Linked DNA regions of Stegostoma tigrinum. The main gene of each other region encodes a partner of the protein of the gene in region 4 in a complex. Links are inferred from orthologs where the notes say so. Each region holds a gene or a part of one and is shown on either strand. Other genes may lie near its edges.

Region 1 (7,147 bases), on a different chromosome or scaffold from region 4:
TGTTCACAGAGCCAGTATAAGTGTAGGTTAGAGGCATGCAGGCAGATCAGGAACATGTGACTATCAGACAGTCCAAGAGAACCAGGAAGACAATGCAGGGGTTTAACTCAAGAATCAGTTTTCATTCTGATAATGGTAAAGGTTTTCAGAGGAGATGCTAAGCCTATGGCAACATGAGTGAGCCAGCTATTTGGGAGGGAAGGAAGGAAAAGGGGGAAAGCAGCAGTTAAAAAGGAACTGATTTGTTAGGAGACTAGAGACATTTCTGCAGTCAAAGATGTGATGCCAGCAATGCATTTTCTTTCACAGGTGTTAGAATCAAGAATGTCACAAAGTAATTACAGGACATTCTTCCCGAGGGATGCGTTCAACTGCAGATCATGGTCTACATTGGTATTTATGTAGAAATGAGTGGTGATGTAGTCCTGTAGTAAGAATTTAGAAAGCTCATTAAAAGATTAGAGTGTAGAACAAATTAATAACTGGATTAAAGGGAGAAATTACAACTGTGCATATGAATGGAAGTAAACAGGATTGACAAGTTACAAGTACAGATCGCCACATTGAGTTATAATACTGTGGCAATAACAGGCTGGGCAAAGGAAAGGCTGAACTAAGTACTAAACATTCCTAGTTACAGGGAGAGGGTAAAGCAAGAAAGCAACGCAGTGGTAATCTTGGTGAAGGACAGCTGCTTGGGAGGAAAAAAAAGGCTTCAAGGACAGAATCAACTTGGCTGGAGCAAAAGGTACAAGGGGAGTCCATTATATTGCTGGGTGTAGTTTACAGGCCACCAGTTAGTAATAGGGATGTAGAGGAACAAATCAGTAAGGAAATTACAGAATAATGCAAGCAAAGAGTATGTGGGAGATTTCAATTACTCCAATTGAAGTTGGAATAGTGGTAGTTAGGAAAAAGAGAAAAGCAAACAAACATACATTCTTGGAATGCATTTAAAAGAATTTCCAACAGCAGTACATCAATGCAACAAGTTAAAAAAGAAAGCACTGCTGGACTTACTTCTTAGGAAGTAGTATCAGTAGGGTAACCTTTAAAAAAAGGTACAGTGATCATTGTATCATGAAATTTGGGAGGACCGTGGCAACAAGAGACAAAGCAAACTAAGGATAATTAGACAGAGCAGACTTTAATGGGGCAAGAACAGACTTGTTCTTGTTAGTCTGGATCAAAAGGGCAGAGTGAAAGATTACATGTGCAATAAGATGCCTTCCAAAAGATAGATTAAAACAAAAAAAAAAGGGTTCTGGCACAATGTATATTTCCTCACAAAAATACAGCAAAAGAAAAATCCAGAGCTCTTTGGATAAAAAAAACAGAAAAAAAAAGTGTTTATGGTAACTAGCAGGTAGAAAATACAGCTGAAAATTAAGCTGCATACAAAAGTGTTTAGAAGGGAAGATGATAAAGAGAAGAGGAGCTATGCAAAAAAAAACTAAAATCAAAAGTCATACAATGTTTTTCAAATCAGAAAAACTGGAAGTCACTTTACAGACAGAGATAGTAGGAACTGCAGATGCTGGGCCCAAAATGTCAGCCTTCCTGCTCCTCGGATCCTGCTGTGTCCATCCAACTCTACACTTTTGTAGTCTAGAATACACTTCACAATTTTTGTTTCATAGATTGTCCATCAAGTTATAAAAACTAGGAACATCTTTGGGGCTTACCTCTCACATACTCTATTGTTCCATCCAATACAAGATTGAGGAGTGGGTCAAATCCTTTCAGAATCCCACTAGCTGTCAAAAAAAAACCAAACACATTTCACCAAATTTCAAGTGAACTACAACATCAGACACTATACAAGAGTCAAAACATACATTACCTCAAAATACACAAGATCTTTTACTGTTTTCCCCTTCAACACCCAAACTTTCCCAAAGCAGACTTCAGTAACAACCAATGAAACTGTTCTGAAACAGTAAAGCTTCAAATTCTCAGTTGAAGTCATTTTACCTTATGAATTTAACAGCAAAGAACTAAAACAATTCTTCAGTAAGTGTAGTATCTACATCATTTCCCAATTCATTGTCTTGAAGGTGAAAGATTATTGTTAGAGATTCTAGTCATTTTGAAGTTGACCTCAGCAGCTTTTTAACCAAATTGAAGAATTTACAGGAGCCTCTGACCAGCTTAAACTAAGTAGTAAAACAATACTTACAGCACTACTCCTAAAGGAATAAGATGTGGTTTATACTGACTTTTTATTGGTTTGATACAATTTGTATCACAGTTCTTTTATCTTTCCCAATCACAGAAAGAGACCATTCGGTCCAGGCAGTCCATGTGGACTACAATTCCAAACTAAAACCAGTCCCACCTACCTGCTCCTAGCCCCTAAGCCTTTCCCAAACTCAACCACGTTTGTCCAAACAGCCTGCCTATTTTGGTTGGGGAAAGACTACAGCTGTTGTAGTCTGGTAAAAGTCAACCTTACGTAACATATATAGACGAAATTTTAAAAAACTGCACCTTCTCGTCCACCTTGAAATTTCACACGGATTGTTTTGTCTATGTACTTGGAGAGGTCGAGAATACTCTCCTTCTTTTTCTTCTCCTTATCCTGAATTCAAAGAAACAAAAACAAAGAAAGTTAGAACCCGATTCTTGCAATCCGAGCTTCTCGTGATCGGTACCCGAGCCTCCGATAGCCCGCAAGGTTTCCGTGACAGCTAAATCGACCTGGTCCCACTCAGAGATTCTGACACGGCCACGAACAAACCGCCAAATTGGGGGGGGGGGGGGGGGGGTTATAACAAAACCGGTGTTCCACTTTCATAGGCCCAAGGAAAGAATTAGATAATAAATGTAACCGGAGGCTCCAGTGGGCCATTAACAGGCCTTCTTTTCCCCAAACACAACCCCCGAGATTTTAAAACTCAGCCACCAGCAAAGACCGCACACACACACTCACCGCCATCATCACGGCCACGACCTCTAACCCCACAACCCCATGACCTTTAACCTCGGCAGCCGACCCGAGTTCCGGCTGTCTCCGCCCCATTGCCCCGCCCCTCACCGTCAGGGGTCCCTCCCCTCGGCACCGGCCGCTTCTGGGTCTCCAGTCAAAACCGAAGTTAATCGGCCGTTCGCCGCCGGCTTTCCTCAAAATAGGCTCCCCCTATTTTTGTGTGTTTGGATTGTTCGGACCCTGAGTGGACGCTACCATTGTGGTCTCTGGAGGGGTCCGAACCTCATCCGAAAGATGGCGCTGGGAGTGAGGCTGCTGCTGTTCGTCCTTCAGCTCAGTCAGGTATCAGCCCGGGGGCCGGGCCGGCACCCCATTCCTTCTCCCCGTCCCCCAAGTCCCAGGACCCGACTAGACACCTGTCACCCTCAGCCCCAGGCCAGCTCTGCATCTCCCTCTTTCCTTTCTACCCAATCTGCTCCCCCCCCACTATTCCCCATACACCTTCCTTCACAATCCTCACCATCCAATCACCCCATCCTGTCCCCCACAACATCACCATACTCCAACCCTGCAGTCTCCCCACTCCCCCACACCCCACCGCAGTCTCCCCATCCTCTCTGCAAAACCCCACACACCCTGCTATTCCCCCATTCTCCTCTGCAATCCCTGCATCCCCCGCTATCCCCCATCCCTTGCCCCTCAATTGTTCTCACTGCTCAATCTCCCCAAATCCCCCGCAATCTCCCCAATCCTCCCACAAACACCCCCACACTTCTCTGCTATTCCCCCATTCCCCTTTAACTATAGACCATCCTCTATTGGCTCCAACTACTATCCGAATTCTCCCTGTCATCCTAATCCTCGCAAACCCTTTCTCTCCCCTCCAACAGTCCCCATGTTTCCCCCCCTTGGGGCACTTTTCTTCATGTCCTAACCCCTTACTCCTCTCCCTGCATCACTGAGTGGGGCAGAGTATGTGTCATTGCAATCACTGGCCTTCAAAAAACAGTCCCTTGAACCGGCTGTTAATTCCAATGCATGGTTCAAATGCGTCATTTGTGGTAGAATATTCTCTTCTCTTGGATCAAGGAAACTTTTATCTCAGTATTGTTGACAGTGAATTAAATCATTAACAATGATCAAAATGGAAATGAAGAGCGTAATTGTGCAGTTAGTCATCTTGCGCAAAATGTAGTGCGTTAATTCAGGAACTGAGTTATTTGTGGGTTTGAGACATACGTGGGCTGGCATTGTTTATACATTCTGGAGTTGCTTTGCTGATGCACTTTACCCTGAAATATGCAGGTGGTGACTGAGTATGGAATGGTCCACGTCCTATCTGATAAGGAACATGGAAATACAAAAGATTACTGCATCCAGTTCAATCCCTACTGGGCCTATTTACCTCATGATCTCAGTAAGGCGGTAAGTGTATATCACAGGACGTTTTGGCAAATCCATTGCGGAATGCTCATTTAGAGAATGAATAGTCATCGTGCATATCTGGAACTCAGCCTGGCTTCTCATTCCAGGAGGGTTCATATGCCTTTGAAATCCTCCCAAGGAGGGACCCTGGACAGGGAATGTAACTTCTCAACCCCCAAAGCTGCAGGTAAAGCCTCTAATTGCACTACTTAATTTCTTGACCTAGAGCAAGTGCAGTTGAAGATAAGTCTGCAACATCAGATTGGGCATAGGTGAATTGTAAGGAACAAAATCATGTTAGTGAAAATTTAAAATATTTCGAGTTCTTTGGTTTTTAAAAAAAATCAAAATTAAATATAAAATGTACGTACATGTTAGTTAACTTGTCGTTCTGTCTTCTCATATTGTAATGTTTCAAATGTACTGGTTGGATCCCACCAGGAAGCAGGCTTGTTCTTTCGGTGTGTCTCCTCTGTCACCTGGCTGGTGACGTATCTAATTTAGCCTGATCTTCCATTTAGCATGTTTCTGTGGGGAAGATAAGCATCCGAGCTACTTGTGCCCAGTAGTTTTCAGTATGAAGCTAGATAGGAGAAGGATTTGTCCTTTTCGTTGCAAAAGTGTTCCATCTGCCAATTTGCATTTTAATCCTCTGCATACAGAAGCCAGCATTCCATTCAACTTTATGATTATGTTCTGTACCTGTTCGTGAAACTTCAATAATTTATGGACCTGAATTTCCCAAAGCTATTTTGATCTGTACTATCTCTAGCTTTTTAGTATTTCAGTAAGTACTGTTCCTTGACCTCTTTTTGTTTTGGCCCATGGTGGATGGTTTCATATTTGCTTGCCAAGTTGAAATGCGTTTGACACAGTTTAACCCATTCACTTCATCTGTTGATTTCTATGTAATATTATGTTATGACACAGAGACACCCAGCCAAATCATCCCTATCCCTGTATCCACAACACAGAAAATTAAAATAGTCACTGAACCTCAGTAGACCCCAATGGTTTCTAACCAGATGTTTTGAATAATCACAACACTGAGACACCATGTTTAAAGCTTAAACAAAACATGCCACAATTTTTAAATAATACAGTAGCTTTATCAGAGCAAATTTAAGCCACAATGTAATCCAATTAATATCTGTGTTTTAAGACTAATTTTCTTTGATTCCAGCCCCTCACTCAAAGATAAAAAGACACAGTTAAGAGATAAATCAAAAAAGAAAAAAAAAAGAGTTGTAACTGGCCAGTTCATTTAAGCAGCCTCCACAATTAGAACATTACGGGCTCATGAGATTGTATCTTGCTTGATTTCTGAAGATGCTGATGTATGCGCATAGCCTTCAGTAAGCTTTGAGGAATATTTATTTTTGTTCTGATAACTGAAACTCTATTGCCTGAACTTTCAGTATGAGACAACATTCAAGCAGCAATCTAATCATCCTGTAGCTGTGGTAGCCAAAATCCTTCCGACTTAAATACAGTTCAAAACCAGTTTGAACTTTGGTTTCTCGTTGTCTGTGAGGCTTCTGTTACTAGGCAAACATGTGGCATTCGTTTGAGCGTAATGCTTCTCTGGAGTGCAAGCATCTGTAGAGCACTTTTTAACAAGAATCAACCTGCAATTAACTTTTAGGCCAGGCCTTGTATACAAGCATCAGTCAATTATTGTTTTGCTTTACAAAGAAGGCTGCTGCTCACAGCCCAAAGCCGACCTTCAGCTCTCACCTCACATTTTCAAAGTATAATATTAAATAGAGGAAGGTCTCAACAATTAACCTTCCATCCACAATGCTGACTATCTTTCATCAGAAAATTCAGCTGCTTGGTTTTCTGACTTGCCACCTCTTAAAACATTTGACAAAAAGCAGATTTGATTTGTTTTGTTTATTATGGTTGACTTATAACTAAAACTCATCCCTTTGAAGACTGTCGTATAAATCTAGAATCTGAATAGCAATTTCTCATTTCTCCACTTTGAACACTGTGTTGAACTCAATCACGTTCTGATTGCCATTAGATAAATGTTTGTATGCTGTTAGATTGTTAACTAAAGTCTGGTTTTATTGAATCTAATATTGCGCAGTGTTTTCTCAAAGATGTATTTCTGTAGATGCAGTTATGAGATTCACTACAATTCTGACATGCTAATCTACTTATTCCAGTCTAGGTGAAAATGAAAGCTACTATGCCTTCACTCTATTTTTATGTCTGAGCCTTTGTACAGCCTACTGTATTGCAGATGCTACCAGAAGGCCAAGACACAACTTATACTTCAGTCATGAACTCTTTTCTATTTGTCAGTCATAAAGTCTCCACTGCTTGCTTATCTCTCATTATATTTTTTTGAGTGTTTGCACTATTTTATATATATTTTATTTTATTTTTTAAGACACTTCTTGTCCTCTAGCATCTTGCCAATCACTTCTGTAGATATTACATGCCCAGGCTATAATTCCTAGCCCAGACTATCTTGCAGCCATGATTCAGTGATGACAACCATGCCATACCACCAGAAGTGACATATACTTACAGTTCATTCACTTTATTCCTTGTAGGGACCAGTAGAGATTACAGGGATAGGTAGAGGCATGAGGATAGAGGGATTTGAAAATAAGGACAGGAATTTTTCCTACTGTTGACACACAGGGAAACAAGCAGCATGGCAGTAGGTGAATGGAACTTGGTGTAAGTTTAGATACAGTGACAGAGTTCTGGATGAGCATAAATTTATGACCAGTGGCAGATGGGAGGTCAGGTGTGAAGTCTAGCAGTAACAAAGAC
Region 2 (6,968 bases), on a different chromosome or scaffold from region 4:
AGCATAAATAAACACCACAGATTGCAGCCTCACTCAATATTTGAGCAGTCTGCTCCTCTTTTGTTTTGCCCCATGTTTGCAAAGAAAGCAGATTGTAAAACTTGCTGCTCTGCATGCTCCTGAGCCTGGTGAAATCCCACCTTCTCAGAACCAGTACATAAAGCAACCAGGAAGTCTCTCCAACTGAGTGAAACCTGGACAATTTCAAGTATAAAACTGAGTCTGCTGGTTCATTTGAAGTCTTCAGTACAAACGCAAGTTATGCTGACCTGGAAGAATTAGATTTTCATATTTCTTCTGGAATTCCACAACTGTTATATTAATAACCAAGATTTATAATTGATTAGTAAGATCTCCAAAATGAAGATTAACTCACCACAATCATTCTTCCATCTGCTGTAACCACTGCAACTGTTCCTGAAGACACAAGTTAAGGTAATATGTTGATTTTTGCATCTCTTCCTTAAGATCAGCACCACCTTCTCAATGACAATATGGATAGGCAATAAATGCTGAATTTACCTGTAACATTCATACTCCATGAAAGAATTAAAAAGATCCATAGCCATAGGTCAATTTCCACTTTTGCCAACAGCCAGCTCTTTCTTTATCAATGTTTCCACATCCACCCCCACTATTCTCACATTGCCCAATATTAATTAGATGGACAAGATTATGAATAGACAGAATATTTTCCAAATTGACATTACAAAGATTCAAGCAAAAATTCTTGTTTTACCATTAGCCTCCCAACCACAACTCCATTCCCTGTTGATCTATTCACTCTGCGTGAACCATAACTTCACAATGTTAGTTTTGCATTTAATCCTGAAGTTCAAATCCCACATCTAAACAGTTGCTATAGCAGTTTAATGCTAGACCCATGGCATCATTCATCGTCACTCTTTCTTTCACTTATACTGCAACTAAAAACCTCAAGTTTTCATTGTCACCCTTTATCAACTACAAAACCCCACCACCCATTCTTCTATCATCCACGTTATTCAGTTTCATCACCATCCTGTCTCATACTTCTCAATCAAAATCTTGTAGACGCATGGCATCTCCACTGTATACATCCTAATTCAATCACCCAAGCACACGCACATGGACTCCTCACACTTCAGCAATCACTCCATTACTCTCAAAACACCACTCACCCGCTACTCTCCATCTATAAAATCCTATAAAGGTATATGTCTAGCTTTACTTTTCATACTCTCCAATTATTGTTTTTAGCCCTCTGTTAGATGCACTGGGGCATGTTCTAGATGAAAGATGTCAGAGCTGGAAATTGCATCCTGAGTGACATCAGCACAAAACAAAAATTGAACAAAAAAGTGCTCCCTTTTCTAAAATTACTTAAAATAACCCAGAAACTTTGAGGCTGACTGAAGTACGTATTTTTGAAAATTCATCATATCCCTCCAACTGGTGCCACACTTATCACGACAAGAAAAACTGAACCCAAGTGAAAATTCTTAAACATGAAAAGACTACACTGGATACCCTTTGAGAATGACTGCAAATATGCTTAAGAAGTATAGTTCTAATTGATGCATAGAAAAAAGTAAATTTTTAAAGTTGCAAGTTGTAGTGAGGTATCTAGAAACAGATCAAGCACATTCCACCATTCTAACTGATTCTGTAACAACCATGTGAGCAACAGCTTTGAATACAAAGTTTATCATTCTATGTGCAAGACCCAATTTAAGAACAGGCCAGCTAAGATAGTCCCAGAATCGATTGTTTGGCAGAAAACATTCTGTTAATATGCAGCAATATCATTTCTCCACCTAGTGTTAACTTACAAGGGAAACAGAACATCATCACACATGACTTCAACACTACAGCTATGATACTGGTAAACTTCTACCATGACACTATAATGCAGAAACAGCTTTACTACAATATCTGAAAGGATATTACTATGAAACAGAAATAATTAAACATTACTGTGCCAAAAAAATTATATTTTGACTCAGCACATTAAAATAATTGGACCATCAAGTCATGAATCAATTTACAAGGAAAATAATACTTCACAGCTTCCCCAAGGGCAATTTAGCATTAAATCTATTGACACAAATTTGAGTTCTAATTCTGAATTACATCCAAACATTTACTCTCTAGCAGACAGCAATGTCCGAAATGTGAAGTAATAACAGTAGTAGGCCATTTGACTCCTCAAACTACATTGAAAAAGATATTGGCTAATATTTGACTTAAAAATTACACTCTGTCACCCTATTTTTGTCCCTTGATTACATCACCATGATTTTTGTTATTTAGGATGAGTATACTCATTGAGCATGTATCCACAGTGCTTTGGGACAAAAGAAAGGCTCACAAGTGAAGAGATAATAGGAACTGCAGATGCTGGAGAATCTGAGATAACATGGTGTAGAGCTGGATGAACAAAGCAGGCCAAGCAGATCAGAGAAGCAGGAAAGCTGACGTTTCGGGCCTAGGCCCTCCCTGCACCTCTGATGCTGCTTGGCCTGCTGTGTTCATCCAGCTCTACACCTTGTTATATGACGTGAAGAAATGGCTTACCCTTCATCCTGACACTAAGCTTCCAGTTCTACATTAGTTGGGGAAAATAACTTCTCAATGTCTATCCTATCAAGCCCCTTTAATATCTTGAAATGCTTGGAGATAATGCTTCATTATTCTACATTCAACGGAATATCGGCCTGATTGATTGAATCTGTCCAGGCAGGACAATCCCATCTGAATGTTCAATCTGGCGAACTTCTATTGCACCCCCTCTTTAGAGCAAAATAAAAACAATGCACCAGGTGCAATCTCACCCCAAAGCCCCGCGCAATTGCAGCAAAACATCCTGAATCGTGTACAACGACCCCTTTACAGTCAGAGCCCAACACTGAGAGTCTGGAAATGCATATAAACAAACACTTTCATTGAACACCCGCCTGAAGGCAAGCAAATGTCTTCCGCACTGTGACACATTCAGTGCAATCGCTATCAAGGTCATTCAATATTATTTCCATACAAAAGGAATCCTCTTGTGGTATTATTAAACGTGGCTGCAGTTTTGTGCAACAACCATCAGGAATTACGGAGGTTAATGAAGCCAGGTGGGGGAAAATACTCAATGAGATACATCGATCGCCTCCCCCCACCCAAGAGGGAGGGAGCGCCGGGTACAGTGATCCCCCCCCCCCCCAGAGGGAGGGAGCGCCGGGTACAGTGATCCACCTCCCAGAGGGAGGGAGCGCCGGGTACAAGTGATCCCCCCTCCAGAGGGAGGGAGCGCCGGGTACAAGTGATCCCCCCTCCAGAGGGAGGGAGCGCCGGGTACAGTGATCCCCCCTCCAGAGGGAGGGAGCGCCGGGTACAGTGATCCCCCCAGAGGGAGGGAGCGCCGGGTACAAGTGATCCCCCCTCCAGAGGGAGGGAGCGCCGGGTACAGTGATCCCCCCTCCAGAGGGAGGGAGCGCCGGGTACAGTGATCCCCCCAGAGGGAGGGAGCGCCGGGTACAAGTGATCCCCCTCCAGAGGGAGGGAGCGCCGGGTACAGTGATCCCCCCTCCAGAGGGAGGGAGCGCCGGGTACAGTGATCCCCCCCCCAGAGGGAGGGAGCGCCGGGTAGTGATTCCCCCCCCCCCCCCAGGGGGAGGGAGCTCCGGGTACAGTGATCCCCCCCGCCCCGTGCTGCTCCTCCAGCAGGATACGGTTGATGTAGGTCTCCAGAGCCGAGGTCATGTTGCTGCACAGCGGCGGCTCCGGCCGGAAATTCCCGCTCACACCGCCAGGGCTGCTGGGTAAACAGGCCCGAGCAGCCGAGAGCCGAGACAGCGCCCAGCCAGGCGGCAGTAATCGAGGCCAGCACCACCTGCTGCTGATGTGAATGTGAAGCTTTTGGGAGGATTGGAAGAGAGATACTTTCATCCAGAAGATTGTGGGGATCTGGAGTGGGCAGTAGAGGCAGGAAACCTCAACCTTTGAAAAGGATAGGGATCTGTACTTGCAATGTCAGAGAATTCAGAGCTATAAACCAGGTGCTGGGATTTGGGATAGTATAAATAGGTCGGTGCAGATTAGATGGGCCAAAGGGACTGTTCTGGCCTGTCGTGGCTATAGTCAAACTGGCCACATCGTATATAGCTCTATCGTAAACTCCTTGAAACCTCTAGTGACTTTAATACGGTAGTCAGAAGTTACACAACATCAGGTTATAGTCCAACAAGTTTGTTTGAAATCACAAGCTTTTGCAGCACAGCTCCTTCATCAGGTGAAGTGCAACGCTCCAAAAGTTTGTGGTTTAAAATAAACTTGTTAGTCTGTAACCTGGTGTCATGTGACTTGTGACTTTGTCCACCCCAGTCCAACCTAGGCACCTCAATGTCATGGCTACCGTTTAATACTGTTGGCAAGTATCTCATACGTCTTCATAACCACCTTATCTACGTGTCCTGCTGCATTTAAGGATCCATGGGCATATACGTAAAGGTCCCTCTGGTCCTCTGTATTTCCTTGTCCCACCATTTAAATTAAAATTGTACTCATTGTCTTATTAGTCCCCACAAAATGCATCACTACACACTTTTCAGGATGTTTACAACAAGCCATAATGCAGACAGTGATCTCAACATTGACCAGAAGGAGCGAACTTGACACTCTGAACACATCAGAAAGGAAGGCCCTAGAAGGACTGAAAAAAGACAAAAACATCATTATATATCAGCAGACAAAGGGTGTATGATAGTAATACTAAACAAACGGGGCTCCCTCACTAAAGCACGGACACTACTAGCAGACATGAATACATACTGGCAAGTGCACACAGATGCAACATCCCAACTGGGTGATAAAATAATCAAAACACCGAAGAGACTCAAACAGACCGGACAAATCAACAAAATGGACTACCTAAAAATGAAACCAGAAGGGACAATTCTACAGCCCCGATTCTATGTCCTCCCAAATGTACACAAATTGGAAGTACCCCATAGACCTGTAGTCTCCCTCCCAGGCATACCAACACACAGGTTAGTCAAGGAGTTACAACAAAGACTAAAGTACCTCATCAGCAAGTCACCCCACTCAATCTATTCAGCCCAGGAGTTCCTCAGTTCCTTCAAGGATATAAGAACAGTTGATGATGAGAAGATGGTGTCCTTTGACGTTACCACCCTATTCACATTGACACACCACTGGCAAGAGAAACACAAGCAACACTATTATAAGAATGAGGCCCGAGTGACACCATCTCCACAGACAACATGCTGGAATTACAAGACCTATGCCTCATGATCAACTTTATCTTTAATGACCATATCTATGAACAGATTATGGCACACACATGGGATCGCTTATCTCCTGACTAATAGCAGAAGCGGTGATGCATGGCCCTCCCACAAATCCAACCCACACTATGGATCCGATAAGCGTACGACACTTTTGTCATCATTAAACAGACCAAACTAGAGGAGACACACCAACTAATAAACAACACTCTCACCGGGATCAAATTCACCAGGGAAGAAGAACGAACAGCTCCCACTCCTAGACACCATGGTAAAACGTAGGACCGATGGGGAATTCCTGATGAAGGTACACAGACAAGCCATACACACTGACCAAGTACTGAATTTCAACAGTAACCACCCTAACACCCACAAATAATGTTGCATGAAAACACTATTTAAGCAAGCGACCACACACCATAGCAACCCGGAACTACTCCAAAAAGAAGAAGAATACTTCCAAGTATCCAAGGACAACAGATACCCAAACAACTGGATCAGATGATGCCTATCACACAGACAACAGGGAGTTTACTGCACACCCTAACACACTCATCACACTACCATACATCAAGAACATATCCAGACTGACCACAAGATTCCTATGACTACTGGGCATCAGAGTAGCACACAAACCCACATCAACCCTATGCCAACTGCTCACCTGAACCAAAGACCAAGTACCCACTATGGACAGAACCAACATAATACACAAAATTCCATGCAAGAACTGCAACAAACATTACACTGGACAGACAAGAAGAAAATTGGTCACAAAAGTACATGAACACTAACTAGCAACAAAAAGACATGACCAATGCAAAATCACCTCCATTCACATGGATAAGGAGAACCACCAGTTTGATTGGGACAACACCAGGGTCCTAGAACAGGCCGAATAGAGACAAGCACAAAAATTCCTAGAGGCCTAGTTCTCCACCAAGAAGGCCATCAACAAAACACATAGAACCAAACCCTATACACACACCACTGCAAAGGAAAACCAAATCCAACAGACCCCAGAGTTTAAATACCAGGCAGGAAAACACAATAGCGCTTCATCAGAGGCTGCACTGATGATGTTAGCCAGCAGGGGTTAGTCTGTGAACTAATGAACAAGCTCAACGAGCCAACCAATCACAACAAAATAACTGACATTCTACCTATCGATTTGAACTCTTAATCTGCAGACTTTGTTCCTTTCTTCTATAGTTTCCACCCACAATATTCCTGAAACTTTTTGTCTTATCAGTCCTGTATATGAATGTTTATATCTTTAGGTTTAAAGCAGTCAGTAGCTTAAGTTTTCATATTAGCAATTAATAATCCATTTTACAGCTTGGTAGATGATTTTATAACAAATATATTTGTTAATGAAACTTTTTTTTTAATCTTAGATAATGGTCACAACAAGACTTTAACGAGTAATATATTAGTCACAGTTCATATTTGTCCTGACTCATTAAATTGTGGCGCTTTATTTCCAGCGTACTCGTCCAATTGAGGCTATGATGACTATCAATGGTAAAAGGCATTTCAGACCTGGTTAGAGACACGCAAAATTGAGCATGAGCTGCATACAGCTGGAACATGAATCAAACTTGGATAATTACAGATTGGATCAGGAGCTAATAAACTATAGGAGCAGTCCTGAGTAGAAGTTCGGTCAGAGAGTGAACAGACTTTGGAGGCACC
Region 3 (7,636 bases), about 40 Mb from region 4:
AAAATTGATTATACACTAAACAATAACACATTTTAAATAGAATGAGAAATGTCTAAATGTTTTGTGCAATATAGTTGGAAATAAAATATGCCTAACCTAGTTGGTAAATAAGACTGCATACAAGTGGTTCAAAATTTGAAAAGTACAAGATTACAAAATGCAAAGCACCAGACACCCAACAATACTATTTATTTGAGGGAGTAAGGGAAATCTCTAAATGCAGAGGTCAGGTTGAAGCCTTCTGATGGAGATTCTCTATTAATATTAATAAAACAATTGGTATATTTCTCAGTAAAATGATAAAACACAAATCACACAACTGTGTCAACAGCTGAGTAGCAACCATCTACCATCATACCACTTAAGGACTCAGTATGTTCCCTATACGTTACAGCATTCCTAGGCCAAAGCCAAGTACTTAAATGTTGAGGCTTTCTGATTTTATTGCACTTTATGACCGTGAATTCCATACCCCACCCTTTTGACTGAAGAATTTTCACCCTAAATCCCCTCTAAGCTTACTACTGCTTAACCATTAATCTATGCCTCTGGTTAAGAGTATTTAACAAAGAGAAAAGGGGCATTCCTATAATGTGGACAGGCATGCTTTTGGCCCTCCTAAGCCCTATTTATACAAAGAAAGCAATCCTAGCCCAACCAATAATGTCTCAAAATTATATTTATTCAGTCCAAGGAGGAACTCGACTAATCTCCCTTATGTCAGTGACCAGAATTGCACAGAACTATGGGCCAACTAGTATTTGTCCAATTCTAGCACAACAAGGGCTAAGTATGAATACAAATCCCAGAATCATGCATCAAGCAGGGCATTTTGTTGTAGAAAATGCCAAATAAAAGGATACTGACAAAATCTTGTATCTTATACTTTGCCTAAAAGGAAACGTCCTACTTGACCAACTCATCTATATGTCAACAGATGTCTGAAGATGGCAGAGAATTGAGTGAGGGAGAGGAGGGATAAAACGGATTTTCAGGTGGGAAAGGAAAGAACAAAGAGAAAGACATGGAATGAACAGGCAGGTGGAGAGGGGCTGATGGGAAAAGGCTGAGGTGGTGAGCCAGCAGGCATGATGGCAGTACAGAAGCAGAGGTCAGGGAAGAGATAGCAGGAGTTGAATGGGGCGGATGAGACCTAGGAGGTCTGGATGTTTAAAGAGTTGATGGTGAGGTGGGTGGGTATTATTAGACAACATTGCTCAATTCCCTTTTACTTTTCAGCATCTATTGCACATTTCTTTGCCCTGTTAGTCTTTCAAAACACATTACTACCCCTCTGAATTCAAAACCACTTGCTTTAGCAACTATTATTGTCAGTTAACTAAACTGGACATCTGAAGGGCTAAGTAGGAATACAAATCCCAAAATCATGCATCCAGGGCATTTTGTTGTAGAAAATGCCAAATAAAAGGATACTGACAAAATCATCAAAACCAAGAAGTGTTCCTACAATCTCCTTATCATTTTTCATAACAATATGAATCCGTGAGCCAATGCATTTGTCCACCAACTCTGGAATAGAAGAAAAAAGTTAGATGTAGAATGTGAAGAGAGATCAAAGACATTGTAGTTAAATAAACAGCCCTTTGACAACACCTTCTAAACCCTTGACACTTAGCACCTCAAAGGGGCAGCAAATAAACAGGAACAAGCACCTCCTGCAGGATCCCCATCCAGTCACAGACTGTACACACTTTGTACCCGAAAAGCCTTGTCTTCACTATCAGTGGGTCAAAATCATAGAACACCCTTCCTAACAGGACTCTGCGTGTACCTAGATAATAAAATGTGAGGCTGGATGAACACAGCAGGCCAAGCAGCATCTCAGGAGCACAAAAGCTGACGTTTCGGGCCTAGACCCTGCTCTCTGATGAAGGGTCTAGGCCCGAAACGTCAGCTTTTGTGCTCCTGAGATGCTGCTTGGCCTGCTGTGTTCATCCAGCCTCACATTTTATTATCTTGGGATTCTCCAGCATCTGCAGTTCCCATTATCTCTGTGTGTACCTACACCACAATGATTGCAATAAGATAGCAGCTCAAAACCACCTGAAGGCAACTAGAAATCAGCAACAAATGCTGACATAGGGTGCCCTCTTGTGGTGTAGGGGCAGTTTCCCTACCCTTGAACCTGGAAGTCCCACCTGCTCCAGAAGTGTATGTTAACTGGTTGAAGGTAGGCTAAATAACTTGCTTTCCTTAAAACGCTGGCTTAGCCAGTGATGCCCACACCCAATGATTTTTTAAAACAAGGTATGTTCACTAGAGAGCAAATTCAGTTTACCTATTCAGGTAGCTAGAGTCTCATCACACTTCCATTCAAATGATACCAAGTCTCAGCTAATATTCACTTCACCACCCCTCTCAAATTATTTCACATCGACATCGTTACTTTTAACTCCGTACACCCATTACTATCTCTTCCTTAACCTCTGTATCTCCCCCCCCAACCTAACTGCCTGTCCCCTTTCTCTCCACCTCAGCCTTCTCCTCTCTCCCACACTTAATTCCTTCACGCCAAACCAAGGTCCGTCACGTTCAACTTTCCTTCTACCGTTTTGTCAATTCCTCATCCCCAACACCCCCTTCTCGTCTCCCGCATCGCTTTGCCATTCCCTTAGGCCATTGCTCCATATCCTGTCTCCCTTACTCCATCCCAGCTCAACTCTCTTCCTTTTCCCCATTAATTTGTCCACTTCTCCCCGGTTCATTCAGCCTGCATTTCCCATTCCATCCATTTGCCTTCACCCTTCCACCCCGCTCGAGCTGCCCTCCTAATTCGCGCTTTCTTCCATAGCCAATTTCACCCAAGTTTTCTACCCCCACGGCCAAACTCCCACCATTTCCTCCCCCTCCTTAAGATGTCAGGCCGGGGAAAGGTGGGGGTGTAGGTAACCGGCTCCATGCGAGTTCTTACCTAGAGGCAACAGCTGGGACGGATTCGTTGCATTCAGCGCCATCTTGACCAAGAGGGCAGCAACTCCGCGCCTGCGCACGGCCCGGGCCAATCGGAGCGCGCGCGCCGGCCGGCGACGGTGCGTGATGACATCAGGGGAGACGGAGCAGCCAATCAACGGCGGGCCCCACGGTTGCCGCGGAAACCACTCGATGAGGGCCTCAGGCCTGACGGAAAGTAGGGGGAACGCACCCCAGAGACGGGCTCATCCCCTGACTGGCTATGGATCATCTTTCATATCCTCCGTCTCTCAAACCCCACCCGCCGCGTCTCACGTTTAATTGCCCACTCACGCCGCAGAAGTTCACCCCCACACCCCAGCTAGCAGCTGCTGCTGAACGCCCCGGGAATACCTTAGCGGGCCTTGCGGTTAACGCTTCAGCTTGAAGACCCGATGCGAGGCAGGAGGACAGCTTGGAGCAAACGGCTGGAATGATTCAACGGGAACCGGGGTGGTGTAAAGGACAGGTAAAGACCAAAGACGTGTCAGTTTGAAAACTATAGTAATCTCCACTAGCCGCTGTTAATCCAGGGCCATATACTTTTGCAAATAAAAACAGAACGGGGGTGCTTTTGTTCAGTACTGACAGCTACACAAATAACGGTGGTCCAGGTGTACAGGAGAAATCTCTCCTCTTAGAGCAAGGGGCGTAGTTTTATGGTGAGGAGCAGCAAGTATAGAGGGGATTTCACTCTGCACCTGAGAGGTTGTGGATATCTACAACTCTCCGTCTAAAACGGCGGCAGAGGAAGGAATCCTCGAGACACTGAGCTATTTAAATGGGTACTTGAAAGAGAAGTACTAGATAACGGGAGAATAGATTAATGTTTGAGAAGCACGGCACAATGGACCCAAAGACGTGCTTTCATGCTGTAAAGCTTTCATGACTCAAGCCCTGTTGCAGTTATTCTAGACCCTACTTAAACTACACCTGAAGTATCATGTGCTGGGATCTGCGCTTCAGGAATGATTTTTGACCTTAAGTGCAGCATAGCTTTGCCACGATAATGCCTCCACTCCAGGTGTTACACTTTTAGATTTTACAAACAAGGGTTGGTTTTGTTTTGGAATTTAGATGCTTGAGGAGTGATTAGATTTAAGCTTTCAAGCTATTGAAAGGTAACAGATGTGGTAGGAAGAAACAATTTCTGGTACAGAGTCTTACATTAGAGAGTATTGTCCACATGTTAGACTATCCAGCACTTTATTGCGTTCTGGTGTTGAGAATAAGGAAACACCGTTTCAAAAGTTTACTGAGAAAGCTGCCCTCTGAGCACAAAGGGCTCAATTCTTTGAATTGTCTTCCATCAGGTGAAACTGAGGTTTGACATTAGTTATTTTTCTCAAAACATACCACCCAGAATATTCATAAGTCAACCTTTAAGGCTTCCAAAAAGTTTGAAAGTTGGAGCTGACTTACCTGCTGAATATAAAATGTGAACAGCTGGTTTGAGCATTCATGTTTGCCCTTTTGAAATGTGTAAAAAAAAAGTAAACATACAAAATAAATGTAACTGCTTGTTGAATAAATTAATTTTACAAGAGTTAAATAAACAAATGTTAAAAGCTGTCAAGTCATTGTCTTTTACAATGTAAAGAATTCAATTTGATATCGTAAGGATCCCCTTCAAGATCAAATAGGGTAATTTTGATTTCAGGTTTATCTATACACAACAAATCACTAAGTTTGTTTTACAACAATCCAATTATTTGACAGTTATACACTAATAACATCCTATTAATGATAACGCAGATACAAGAAGATATATTTCTAATCTTTGTGCAAGTTATTCTGCTTTTATCGTATCCAGAAGTGCACTTACACACAAAACTGAACAGTTTTTTTTCCTCCCTAACACCAAATAACACTCCTCATCTATTAACTAGCACCAGTAAATCATAGTATTCAAGTGGAAACATAATTTATTCATTAAGTGCAAATCAGCAAAGGTGAGGGAGAGCAGGAAGGGGACAAATTAAAATGGAGTTGGAAGGTGAAGTAAAATACTGTACCCCTGCCATGCCTCAGTGATAATGGGAACTGCAGATGCTGGAGAATCCAAGATAACAAAACGTGGAGCTGGATGAACACAGCAGGCCAAGCTGCTTGGCTTGCTGTGTTCATCCAGCTCCACACTTTGTTATCTTGGATTCTCCAGCATCTGCAGTTCCCATTATCACTGATACAATTTTAACCTCACTGCGAAGCCTCTTCCAGGGATGCCTAACCTGAAGAAGTTACCCTCCTCCCTCCGGACCAGCCTCAGGGAATCTCTCGCCCACTACAACTCTGTTGTAACCTCTTCAGCCTTGCAACCGCTGGACCATGTCCTGAAGTAATCACGTTTGGACATCGAGCAGTTTTTAACCTGTCTGTCTTCCCTGGACTGACCTATCCCCTCCCTACCTCCTCACCTATACTCTCCTCTGTATCTAATATAATAAAACATGAGGCTGGATAAACACAGCAGGCCCAGCAGCATCTCGGGAGCACAAAAGCTGACGTTTCGGGCCTAGACCCTTCGTCAAAGAGGGGAATGGGGTGAAGGTTCTGGAATAAATAGGGAGAGAGGGGGAGGCGGACCGAAGATGGAGAGAAAAGAAGATAGGTGGAGAGGAGAGTAGAGGTGGGGAGGGGATAGGTCAGTTCAGAGAAGATGGACAGCTCAAGGTGGTGGGATGAGGTTAGTAGGTAGGAGATGGAGGTGTGGCTTGGGGTGGGAGGAAGAACAGGTTAGGGAGGCAGAGACAGGTCGGACTGGTTTTAGGATGCAGTGGGTAGAGGGGAAGAGCTGGGCTGGTTGTGTGGTGCAGTGGGTGGAGGGGAAGAGCAGGGCTGGTTGTGTGGTGCAGTGGGTGGAGGGGAAGAGCAGGGCTGGTTGTGTGGTGCAGTGGGTGGAGGGGATGAACTGGGCTGGTTTTGGGATGCGGTGGGGGAAGGGGTGATTTTGAAGCTGGTGAAGTCTCTATCTCTCCTCTCTACCTATCTTCTTTTCTCTCTATCTTCAGTCCGCCTCCCCCACTCTCCCTATTTATTCCAGTTCCCTCTCCCCATTTCTGATGAAGGGTCCAGGGCCGAAACGTCAGCTTTTGTGCTCCTGAGATGCTGCTGGGCCTGCTGTGTTCATCCAGCTCCACACTTTGTTACCCCTGCAATGCCTACCTCTTTCAGGCATAAAGAGTATTGGTGGACACCATGTGCTCCCTCTGCAAGAGCATCCCAGCACGAATGTATCTACAAAGGAGGGGTGTACAGTCAACAACTATCACCACTCCAGAGTTGCTGCCTGGACCTGTTAATAGCTAACTTGGCCAGGCCCAGGAGCAGACGCTCAAGGATTTCTGACTTGGCTGCAACCCTTCACACTAAATGCCCAAGGGTCAAGATTGTGGAGCTGAGGTGCAGTCAAAATCACAGTGAAGGACTGAAGGTTATTCTCCAAACATCTCGTTATCTGATTCATTATGAACATGATTTTTTGAATGGCCTTTTGAGGTTTGTAGTGAAGACTGAACTGAAGACATTGGACTCTGAATAGTATTTGCAATTTGGTAATTATTTCTTCTCATGTGTGCCTTAATCTCATCAGTAATCAAATCAGAATTCAAATTCCACCCCGTGCCACGACTGGGATATATCCCAACTGGATGGGATTGCATTTAATTAAGCATTTAATTGCCAAATCAATTACCTTCATCATATCCACTGACTTGATTATCACATTCCTAAATTGGTTGCATCCTCCTCATAAGGAACAAATGTGCAAATCAATCATCAGGTGCCTAAGCCATGTCCTCTATCTCCACAAAAACTATTGTCATCCATCTTTAATTGCCTCACTTTTACTTTGCCTGTAGTTTTATTCTTCATACCTTTATAAGGAAAAAAAACTTCACCCCATTCCCTTTTATGATACCCACTGATCTTATTGCAGTCATTCTCTTTGCAACTCTTATGTGCTTATAATCTCCCTCAGAACTCCTTGTATTCAGCTTGGTTTTCTACCATATTGTTAACCTGATATCTAAGTCTACTTTCACTTTTAATTTGAAGCTCAACTTTTGAGGAAGCGGTGCACTTCTGTTTCCCCTCAGGAATGTATATCGTTTGCACAGTCTACTTCACCTTGAAGTGCATCAATTTATTTTACTGTTTAGCTTTCCAGACTTTGTATTAATTCACATGGGCCAATCTCTTTCAACTGACCGAATGAAGCCCTCTTAGTTATGAACCTCCATTATGACTTTTCCTTGTTTTTTTTTTGCATGGAAATAATCCCTAGTTCCAACTCATCTGTGCAAACCAGATATCCTAAATTATTATAGTCCCTTGAAAGGGTTCAGAAAAGATTTATGAGGCTGTAGGGAGCGTCAGAGTAGGTTGGGGCTATATTCTCTGGAGTGTAGAGGCTGAGGGGTGATCTTACAGAAATTTACAAATTCAGGAGGGGCATGGATAGGGTGAATAGTGAAGGTCTTTTCCCCAAAAGTGGGGAGTCCAGCACTAAAGGGCATTGGTGTAGAGTGAAAGAAGAAAAATTTAAAAGGGATCTAAGGGGAACTTTTATGCACAGAAGGTAGTTCATGTATGGAATGAACTGCCAGAGGAAGTGGTGGAGTCTGGTACAATTACAACATTTAAAAGGCATCTGGATGGGTATATG
Region 4 (7,770 bases):
GGTGACAGCTCTTGACTTCAAGGCCATATTAACAAAGTGTGGCATCAAGGAGCCCTAGCAAAAGTTGAATTAGTAGGTATCTGGGGGCAAGTTGTCTGCTGGTTGGAGTCAAAACAGGCACATAGGAAAATGTTTATGGCTCCAGGACATCTCTGCAGGATTTGCTCAGAGTAGTGTCCTCGGTCTGACCATCTTTAGCTGCTTCAACAATGACCTTCGCTCCATCATAAAGTCTGAAACAGGGATGTTCGCCAATGATTGCACCATGCTCAGCGCCATTTGCAACTTCTCAGATATTGAAACAAACTATGTTCAAATGCATCAAGATCTGGACAATATCCAGGCTGGGGCTAACAAGTGGCTAGTAGTATTCAACACCACAGAAATGCCAGGCAATGACCATCTCCAATAAGAGATGTTATTACATCACTGAATCCCCCACAATCAACATCCCGGGGGTTACCACTGAACACAAACTCAACTGGACTTGCGCATGAAGACAGTGGCTACAACAGCATCAGAGACTAGGAATACTGTGATGAGTAACTCACCTCCTGACTTCCTAAAACTTATCCATCAACTAAAAGGCACAAGTCAGGAGTGTGACAGAAAACTCCTGACTTGCCTGGATGGGTGCAGCTGCAACATTTTATCATTCAGGATAAAGCAGCCCACTTGATCAGCACATCAACATATATCCATTCTCTCCACCGACACTTAGTGGCAGCATGTACTATCAACAAGATGCACTGTGGAAATTCACTAAAGATCCACAGACAGCACCTTCCAAACTCACAACCACTTCCTTCTAGAAGGACGAAGGCAGCAGAAAAATGGGAACACTACGCTCTGCAAAATTTCCCTTCAAGCCACTCACCATCCTGATGAGAAAATATATTGCTGTTCCTTCAGTCTCTAGGCCAAAATACTGGAATTCCCTCCCTAAGGGCATTGTGCATCAACCTACAGCACATAGACTGTAACAGTTCAAGAAGGCATCTTAACACCACCTTTTCAAGGGAAACTAGGGATGGGCAATAAATGCTGCCTGAATAGCAATGCCCATATCCCACAAATGAATAGAAGAAATTTATATAGTTCTAACATTGTATTTAACCGAATACAACTTTACCTAACGCTGGGTGCACTTGCTGATGTTTATGAAGGCTTACCTTTTCAGCAATACTATACAAGACCTCATCCATCTTCATACAAGTTGGATCCCAATCATGACCAAAGCGAATGACAACGACACGATCCTCCTCTGACAGGATGGCCTGGTCTACTTGCCAGCCATTGTGGAGATGTGGCAGCATATACGACATTGCGGCAAAGAGTTGCACTATTTCTACTACCCCTTTATATGACAAAACCAAAAAAATGAGTTAAACCACTTCTAGACTAGAAAGAAAAATGTTAGTCTTATGAATAAAAGCTCTGTGCTCACAGAAATAGTACAGTTCTTAAGACTCGGGCAGACTGACGTAAATAAATAATAGCTTGGGCCTTTGGAGGTTTTAAAAAACAGAATCATGACGGTTGTAAAGCAATTAACAACCTGTATTTTGATTGTTTTTGACCCTGTAAAACTTCCCATAAATATGACAAAATAAAGTCTGCCACCAAGCCACATAAAGAGGGATTTTAGTACTTAGGCCCAAAACCTTGTTCAAAGGGCAAGTTTCAAAGCAAGTCTTAAAGTAGGAAGGGAGGTGTGTGGAAGAGTGACTGAGAGGTTTAAGAAAGGCGTTCCAGAGCTTAGGGCCTTGGCAGCCAAAGGCACAGTCACAAGCTGTTGGAGGAGTCAATGTTGGGATGCTCAAGACACCTGAAGAAAGGAGTACAGCAATCATTTATGTCGGGGTGAGGGAGCCTCTGAAGGATTGGAAATACATGTTCATTTATAACTCATAACCTACATAATACTTATAGAATATAACCTCCTTACTGTTCCGTGCTATATGTTAATCAAATTGGTTAGAATCGCTATGAAGTCTGCATTTTACAAAACGTAACATTGTCGTTGAAAACACATGTTCCAATTCCAAGGAATGAAACAGCAACAATCCACTTTTAAGTTTTCAAACAGTAACCAACTGATTCTCTATCATATTGCATATTCTTTGGTCATATTTCTGCAGAGGCTACAAGTTACAAAATACAGAAATCTCCACGAATTAAGTTTGGGCGATTCCTCAGCACTCATTCCTGTCACCTGGCAAACTTTCATGGCTTTCGATCATGTTTCTGAGGGGCTGCTTACAGTGTCTGATATCAATGAAACTGGAGTGGGCTGGACAGTTGAGATGGATGTAAACACCAAAGTTGATTAAAAATGATCTTTGTTTTGTGGTGACAATCAGCAATGTCCCTCTTGAGAAGGGCAAGTGGTCACTTTTATTTTGATTTAATTGGGGAGGATGGAGGGGGAAGAGAAATGGTGTCATTTCTCTTACTCTAAAAGCCCACCTTCAGGGGTTATTATAGGGCCCTAACCTCTGGGCCTGGAGGACCGGATAGAATTCCCCTGGCCCTGTGCCACAAGGCGTGCGATGACACCTCTGAACGGGTTAATTAGAAAGTTAAATGAGTTAGAAGGCCTCCAGCGATCCAGGAGTGACAGTGAAGTTTACAAAGTGCCCTGAATCAACTCAGTAACCATGGCGGGTAATTGCCTCTTCCTTTACCAGGAAAAAAGACAGGCGGACAGCGGAGGTGAAAGAAACTCTTAAACAACCAACCCCCTGAGAGCTAACTGATGGTGTTTAATAGTAACCCCGGTGTGTATCTGAATGACTGAGAGTTATGTGGGGGGGAATAGTCAGAGACAGTAAACCTGCCTCATCTGTATCGCTGGAAATACTCGACTGAACAGGAGCGAGTGTGTTTGTGTGTATTAGGCGGGCTCACCTCAGACACCAATCCCCGGGAATGACACCGAGCAAGGGCGCCTCACCCCGGCCCCAGCTCCGGCTGCAGGGCCTCTGACAACCAAGATGGCGACCGCCGGTAAGGGGACGGGCCGCATGCGCGGGATCACTGGGCCAATGGGGAAAGCCTCGCGATGTTTCCCCGTGTCCCTCTGCCGGTGAAGTGACAGGTTGCATTGTGGCGGACCTTGTAGCAATGTACTGGCAATTTGTCACCACTGGAGGGCAGCCAAGTGCAAGGGATGCAACAGCGCGTTTGTACACGGCAAGCCCACTGCCCCGTCATAATGTCCAGACGATTTGTCTTTTGTAATATGAGCTCAGGGAATAAATATTGTTTGGGATATGGGAGATAACACTTCTTTCAAATAATGGCACCGAATCCTTTACATCCAAGCAAGAGTTGATGTTTCAACTAAATGATGGCGTCTCAGACAGTGCAGCACTGCCTCAGTATTGCATATGTCAGTGTAGGGATTTGGAAAGATGTTCAAACACTCAGATTCAGAGGTAATGATGCTGGAAGGCTGATGGCAACATTGATAGAGTCCATGCTGACTAGATATCCTATATAAATCTAGTCCCATTTGCAAGCGTTTGGCCCATATCCTTCTAAACTCTCTAGGCCCAAAATGTTAGGTTTTGTGCTCCGAAGATGCTGCTTGGCCTGCTGTGTTCGTCCAGCTCCACACTTTGTTATCTCCTTCTAAACTCTTTCTATTCATGAAGTCATCCAGAGGCATTTTAAATGTGATCATTGCACCCACCTCCACCACTTCCTCTGGCAGCTCATTGCTGACACACACCACCCTCTGCATGAAAAAGTTGCCCGTTAGGTTTCTTTTAAATCCTTTCCCTCTCACCTTAAACCTATGCCCTCTAGTTTTGGGCATTGTTGACAAAGTAGCTGAATATGATTGTCATAGATTGGATTCCCTTTAATCGGCAAATATTTTTAGATACCTTGCTGAAAAATAAAATTTGAAGCAGTTTTTTTCAAGCTGAGTGATATACGATGACCGGTTAAAATGCTAATGGGTCCTTCATTTCATCATTTTCACTTACACAGCTGGATGCCAGACTTGTATGTGTTTTTGTGAAACAATAATGGATTTGTGGTGGTAATCATCTATGTCCTGGGACAAAATAACTTCACTAAATTGCAATCAGAATTCTTTCCATGGTTCTCATGAAAATCAAAATTCCTCTGAATGTGATTTATTCAGTTGTGCAATGACTTTACATATAACTTTGAATGCTGGGAAACTGGTTCATCTACTATGACTATGTGCTACTATCCATCCTACCTCATTCCAGTTCATCACCAAGTAAGAAAACACAGTAGAACTTGTTCCTATTTTAAAGTGCTTAGCTTTAATTCAAATTTGCAGACCCCAATGGAAGATGTTGTAGATTGTAACTCATCTCACGTTGGTACTAATAGCAACAATCCTTTTAATTTGAGGGCATGATTCATCCAGAACAAGAAATTAGAGTTTGGGTTAGGGTTAGAGAAATTCATAGGGACTGCTGTTTTTCTTATTCAAAAGGAAATTCTGCTGAGCATGATAAATTTGCCCATCTGCAGTGGCCCAAGGTTCAAAGAAAAATATGCTTGCTCATAATTTAGTTTACTCCATTTTGTTAGAGTGCAGTCTGCTAATGTGTGGCACAGATCTGGCATGGTTAGGATCAGTTTCCTCTTGATTGTACAGGAAACATGGTATCAGGAGGAGATTATTCACCCTCAGGAACCTAATCCATCATTAAATGACTTTGTGATTGATCCGTACATTCTTATCCTTAAGTTCTCCATACAAAAGCAGATCTGACCACAGCACAGCAATCTCTCACCCACCTCCTCCCTCCCCAGGCAGAGCAAGAAAGCAGGTTGTGAAGCCACCCCACCCAAAATGGGAATTGACCCCGATTTTATTCTAATTTATATATTAACTCCATTTACATAACCCTTTGTACCCTCTTCTAAGAAAAGCCTGTCAAATTTGGTTTAAAAATTTTTAATTGATCTACTTTAGGAGAGGCTTTGTGACCAGCCATATAAATACCAACTAGGTGAGAGGCTGAGAATTCTGTGGCACGTAACTCACCTCTTGAATCCTCAAAGCCTCCCAGCCATCTACAACGCACAAGTCAGCAGCATGCTGAAATACTCCCCACTTGCCTGGTTGGTTGCAGGTCCAACAGCATTTCAAGAGCCTCAGCACTATCCAAAGCAATGTGAACTGTTAAATTGAGTTCTGGATTTTTACTGGCACTCCTCTTTGAGGTCAGTCATGGGTGCCCTTGCTTTGCCATTCCTAGATCAACGATCATCTGGCTCAGTGTCTGCACAGAGGTAATTATGCCAAGGTGGAAAAGCTAACTTTTTTGCACGTGTATGGTGGAGGGTGATTAACAATAAGCTGAAGATAAAAGCGACAAACCAGTTTGAGATGAATGAGGAGGACTAAGATATTCACATTCACAGATTAGGGCCATTTCTGTGCTGTGATCAGGAGAAATCTAATTTGAGAGCCAAAACTACAGATTTGTCGGAAAATAGGCACATATTTGGGAGGTTCAAGAAATTTGGAGATAGGCAGAGAGATTGGTGATAGTGTGGCTTCCAAGGACAGTAAAGTAGTTTTTTTTTAGGATGGATATGATTTTGACAGTTTTAAAATGGAGGGCAATTGTATCCACAAAAAGAGGACTATTTATATTAGGAGATAACATTGGCATTATGAGGGGAGGTTAGATCGCAATTGATCAGAATGGAGTCAAGAATGCTTAGGGCTTAACCACACAGAGAAACACATATCCACCATTCATTGCCATTTTCATTTTATTTAACTCCCTATGTTTATTATCACCCATATATATTTCAGCTTTCCCACAGCCTGAGTATCTCAGTTCAGCTTTTTGCCCTTTTATCCCATCTAATTTGGAACCCACGTTCCATTTACACTTTTGTATCCGACATTTTTGCCACATTGTCATAAATGCTGTCCTCTTCCTTTTCCTCATCATGGAATCAGAGAATTGTAGGCCACTGAGGAGGCCATTTGGACCTTTCTACTTGTGCTAGTTTCCTGAAAGTCAACCAATACACTCCCTGCTCTTTCATCGTAGCTCTGAAATGTTCTTCTTTTCAAGCACCTAAGTGGTCCTTGCAAAGTTACTACTGATAATAAAATGTGAGGCTGGATGAACACAGCAGGCCAAGCAGCATCTCAGGAGCACAAAAGCTCCTGAGATGCTGCTTGGCCTGCTGTGTTCATCCAGCCTCACATTTTATTATCTTGGAATTCTCCAGCATCTGCAGTTCCCATTATCTCTGATACCAAAGTTACTACTGAATCTGCTTCCACTGTCTGTTCATATCTTTTCCAGATAAACGATTCTTTAAAAAAATCCCTCCTGACAGCACCTGGAATTTTGGTTTAGTAAGAATCCTGATAACAAAATGAAGGTCTCACTGCTCTATCCCTCAATCTGTGAATATTTTTTCGGTTTTAATAATGTTGAGTGCCTTTTATGTATGAACATAGATGAATTTAGCAGTAAATGTCGTGAAATATTTATTGAAAACATTAGATGGCGCTATATACCAAGCTATGAGACCTTTAACAGCGGCACTGTTTCAGTTTCTCATGTATTTATTGTGTTCTATACTTACCTTTTGTAAATAAATCACTGAAATGTTTGAAGGCACGTCTTAGCTGTACCTAATGTGAAGATGCTAATGTTGATGACAATGATAAGCATGAAAACTGAACATTAAAGAGCAGCGCAGCAACTAAGCCCATCTCCGTGGAGAAATGAAACGATTGCATTTGTTTGTGAAACTTCTGTCAGAAGTGGAAACTCGTGTATAGAGCCTGCTCTGGCAGTTTCGCTCATGCAAGTTGAACGTACGGAAGGACACACTTGTTCCTATACGAAGTGCTATTAAGGTTCACCAGACTGATTCCTGGGATGAGAATATACGAGCAGACATTGAGTAAATTAAACATCAATGTAGACTTCAACTGTCCCTCTGGAAGGTATTTGCCAATCTGTCAACTCCGGCTATTGAAGTCTCCTCTAGGCCCCTCTGACTAGCCCTGTGAAATACTTTTTCATAAATGATGTTGCGTCTCATAGAAACAAAGAAACTATGAGCAGGATCCTTAGAGCCGGCACCTCCATTCATTGGGATCATGGCTGATCCTCTGTTTCAATGCTGCTCTCTCCTTCTAACCCTTGGAGCATTTGATTTCTGAAAATATATCTATTTCTTTCTTCAATATATTCAGTGAGTTGGCCTGCATTGTCTTCTGTGATAGCAAATTTCACAGAGTCACTACCCTTGGAGTGTTAAAAAAAACTTTTCCTCACCTCAGTCCTGAATGGTCTAGCCCACATTCTGAGACTGTATCCCTCATTCTGGACTCTCCAATCACAGAGAACATTCTCCCTGCATCTAGTCTGTTAAGCCCTGGTAAAGTATTACATTTATCAAGGAGATCACCTCTCATTGTTCTAAATTCTAGTGACTACAAGCGCAGTTGAACCAATCTAACCGCAAAGGACAGTCCTGCTATCCTCAGTATCAACATAGTGAATCTTTGCTGCACTCTGTCTATGGCAAATACCTTCTTTCTTACATAGGCAGACGAAAACTGAATGCAATACTCCAGGACTGATCTCAGCAAGGCCCTGTTCAATTGCAGTAAGAAAGTCTTACTTCTGCACCCAAATGCTTTCTACATGATACTAGCGCTTGTCAAAAACATCCAACCCATGTTGAGGATAGCAAATGTGGTTCCCCTGTTCAAGAAGGGGAGTAGAGACAACC

The links.
Region 1: txnl4a (region 4) and lsm7 share a complex: the UniProt entries of both Homo sapiens proteins name them as parts of the precatalytic spliceosome. The link is inferred for Stegostoma tigrinum from reciprocal best matches to the Homo sapiens genes TXNL4A and LSM7.
Region 2: txnl4a (region 4) and lsm8 share a complex: the UniProt entries of both Homo sapiens proteins name them as parts of the precatalytic spliceosome. The link is inferred for Stegostoma tigrinum from reciprocal best matches to the Homo sapiens genes TXNL4A and LSM8.
Region 3: txnl4a (region 4) and lsm5 share a complex: the UniProt entries of both Homo sapiens proteins name them as parts of the precatalytic spliceosome. The link is inferred for Stegostoma tigrinum from reciprocal best matches to the Homo sapiens genes TXNL4A and LSM5.

Annotation. Positions count from the first base shown.
Region 1 is NC_081383.1:26,726,021-26,733,167, reverse strand, and holds the start of lsm7 (U6 snRNA-associated Sm-like protein LSm7), read right to left. Parts: upstream 3,009-7,147; 5' UTR 2,942-3,008; coding exon 2,933-2,941; intron 2,582-2,932; coding exon 2,491-2,581; intron 1,758-2,490; coding exon 1,686-1,757; intron 1-1,685. Other genes in the region: sppl2 (signal peptide peptidase-like 2), read left to right, coding at 3,224-3,271, 4,235-4,354. UniProt on the Homo sapiens protein: Plays a role in pre-mRNA splicing as component of the U4/U6-U5 tri-snRNP complex that is involved in spliceosome assembly, and as component of the precatalytic spliceosome (spliceosome B complex).
Region 2 is NC_081371.1:35,184,486-35,191,453, reverse strand, and holds the start of lsm8 (LSM8 homolog, U6 small nuclear RNA associated), read right to left. Parts: upstream 3,015-6,968; 5' UTR 2,845-3,014; coding exon 2,814-2,844; intron 418-2,813; coding exon 377-417; intron 1-376. UniProt on the Homo sapiens protein: Plays a role in pre-mRNA splicing as component of the U4/U6-U5 tri-snRNP complex that is involved in spliceosome assembly, and as component of the precatalytic spliceosome (spliceosome B complex).
Region 3 is NC_081358.1:3,935,157-3,942,792, reverse strand, and holds the start of lsm5 (U6 snRNA-associated Sm-like protein LSm5), read right to left. Parts: upstream 3,015-7,636; 5' UTR 2,976-3,014; coding exon 2,933-2,975; intron 1,531-2,932; coding exon 1,435-1,530; intron 1-1,434. UniProt on the Homo sapiens protein: Plays a role in pre-mRNA splicing as component of the U4/U6-U5 tri-snRNP complex that is involved in spliceosome assembly, and as component of the precatalytic spliceosome (spliceosome B complex).
Region 4 is NC_081358.1:44,278,081-44,285,850, forward strand, and holds the start of txnl4a (thioredoxin-like protein 4A), read right to left. Parts: upstream 3,021-7,770; 5' UTR 2,911-3,020; intron 1,358-2,910; 5' UTR 1,326-1,357; coding exon 1,173-1,325; intron 1-1,172. UniProt on the Homo sapiens protein: Plays a role in pre-mRNA splicing as component of the U5 snRNP and U4/U6-U5 tri-snRNP complexes that are involved in spliceosome assembly, and as component of the precatalytic spliceosome (spliceosome B complex).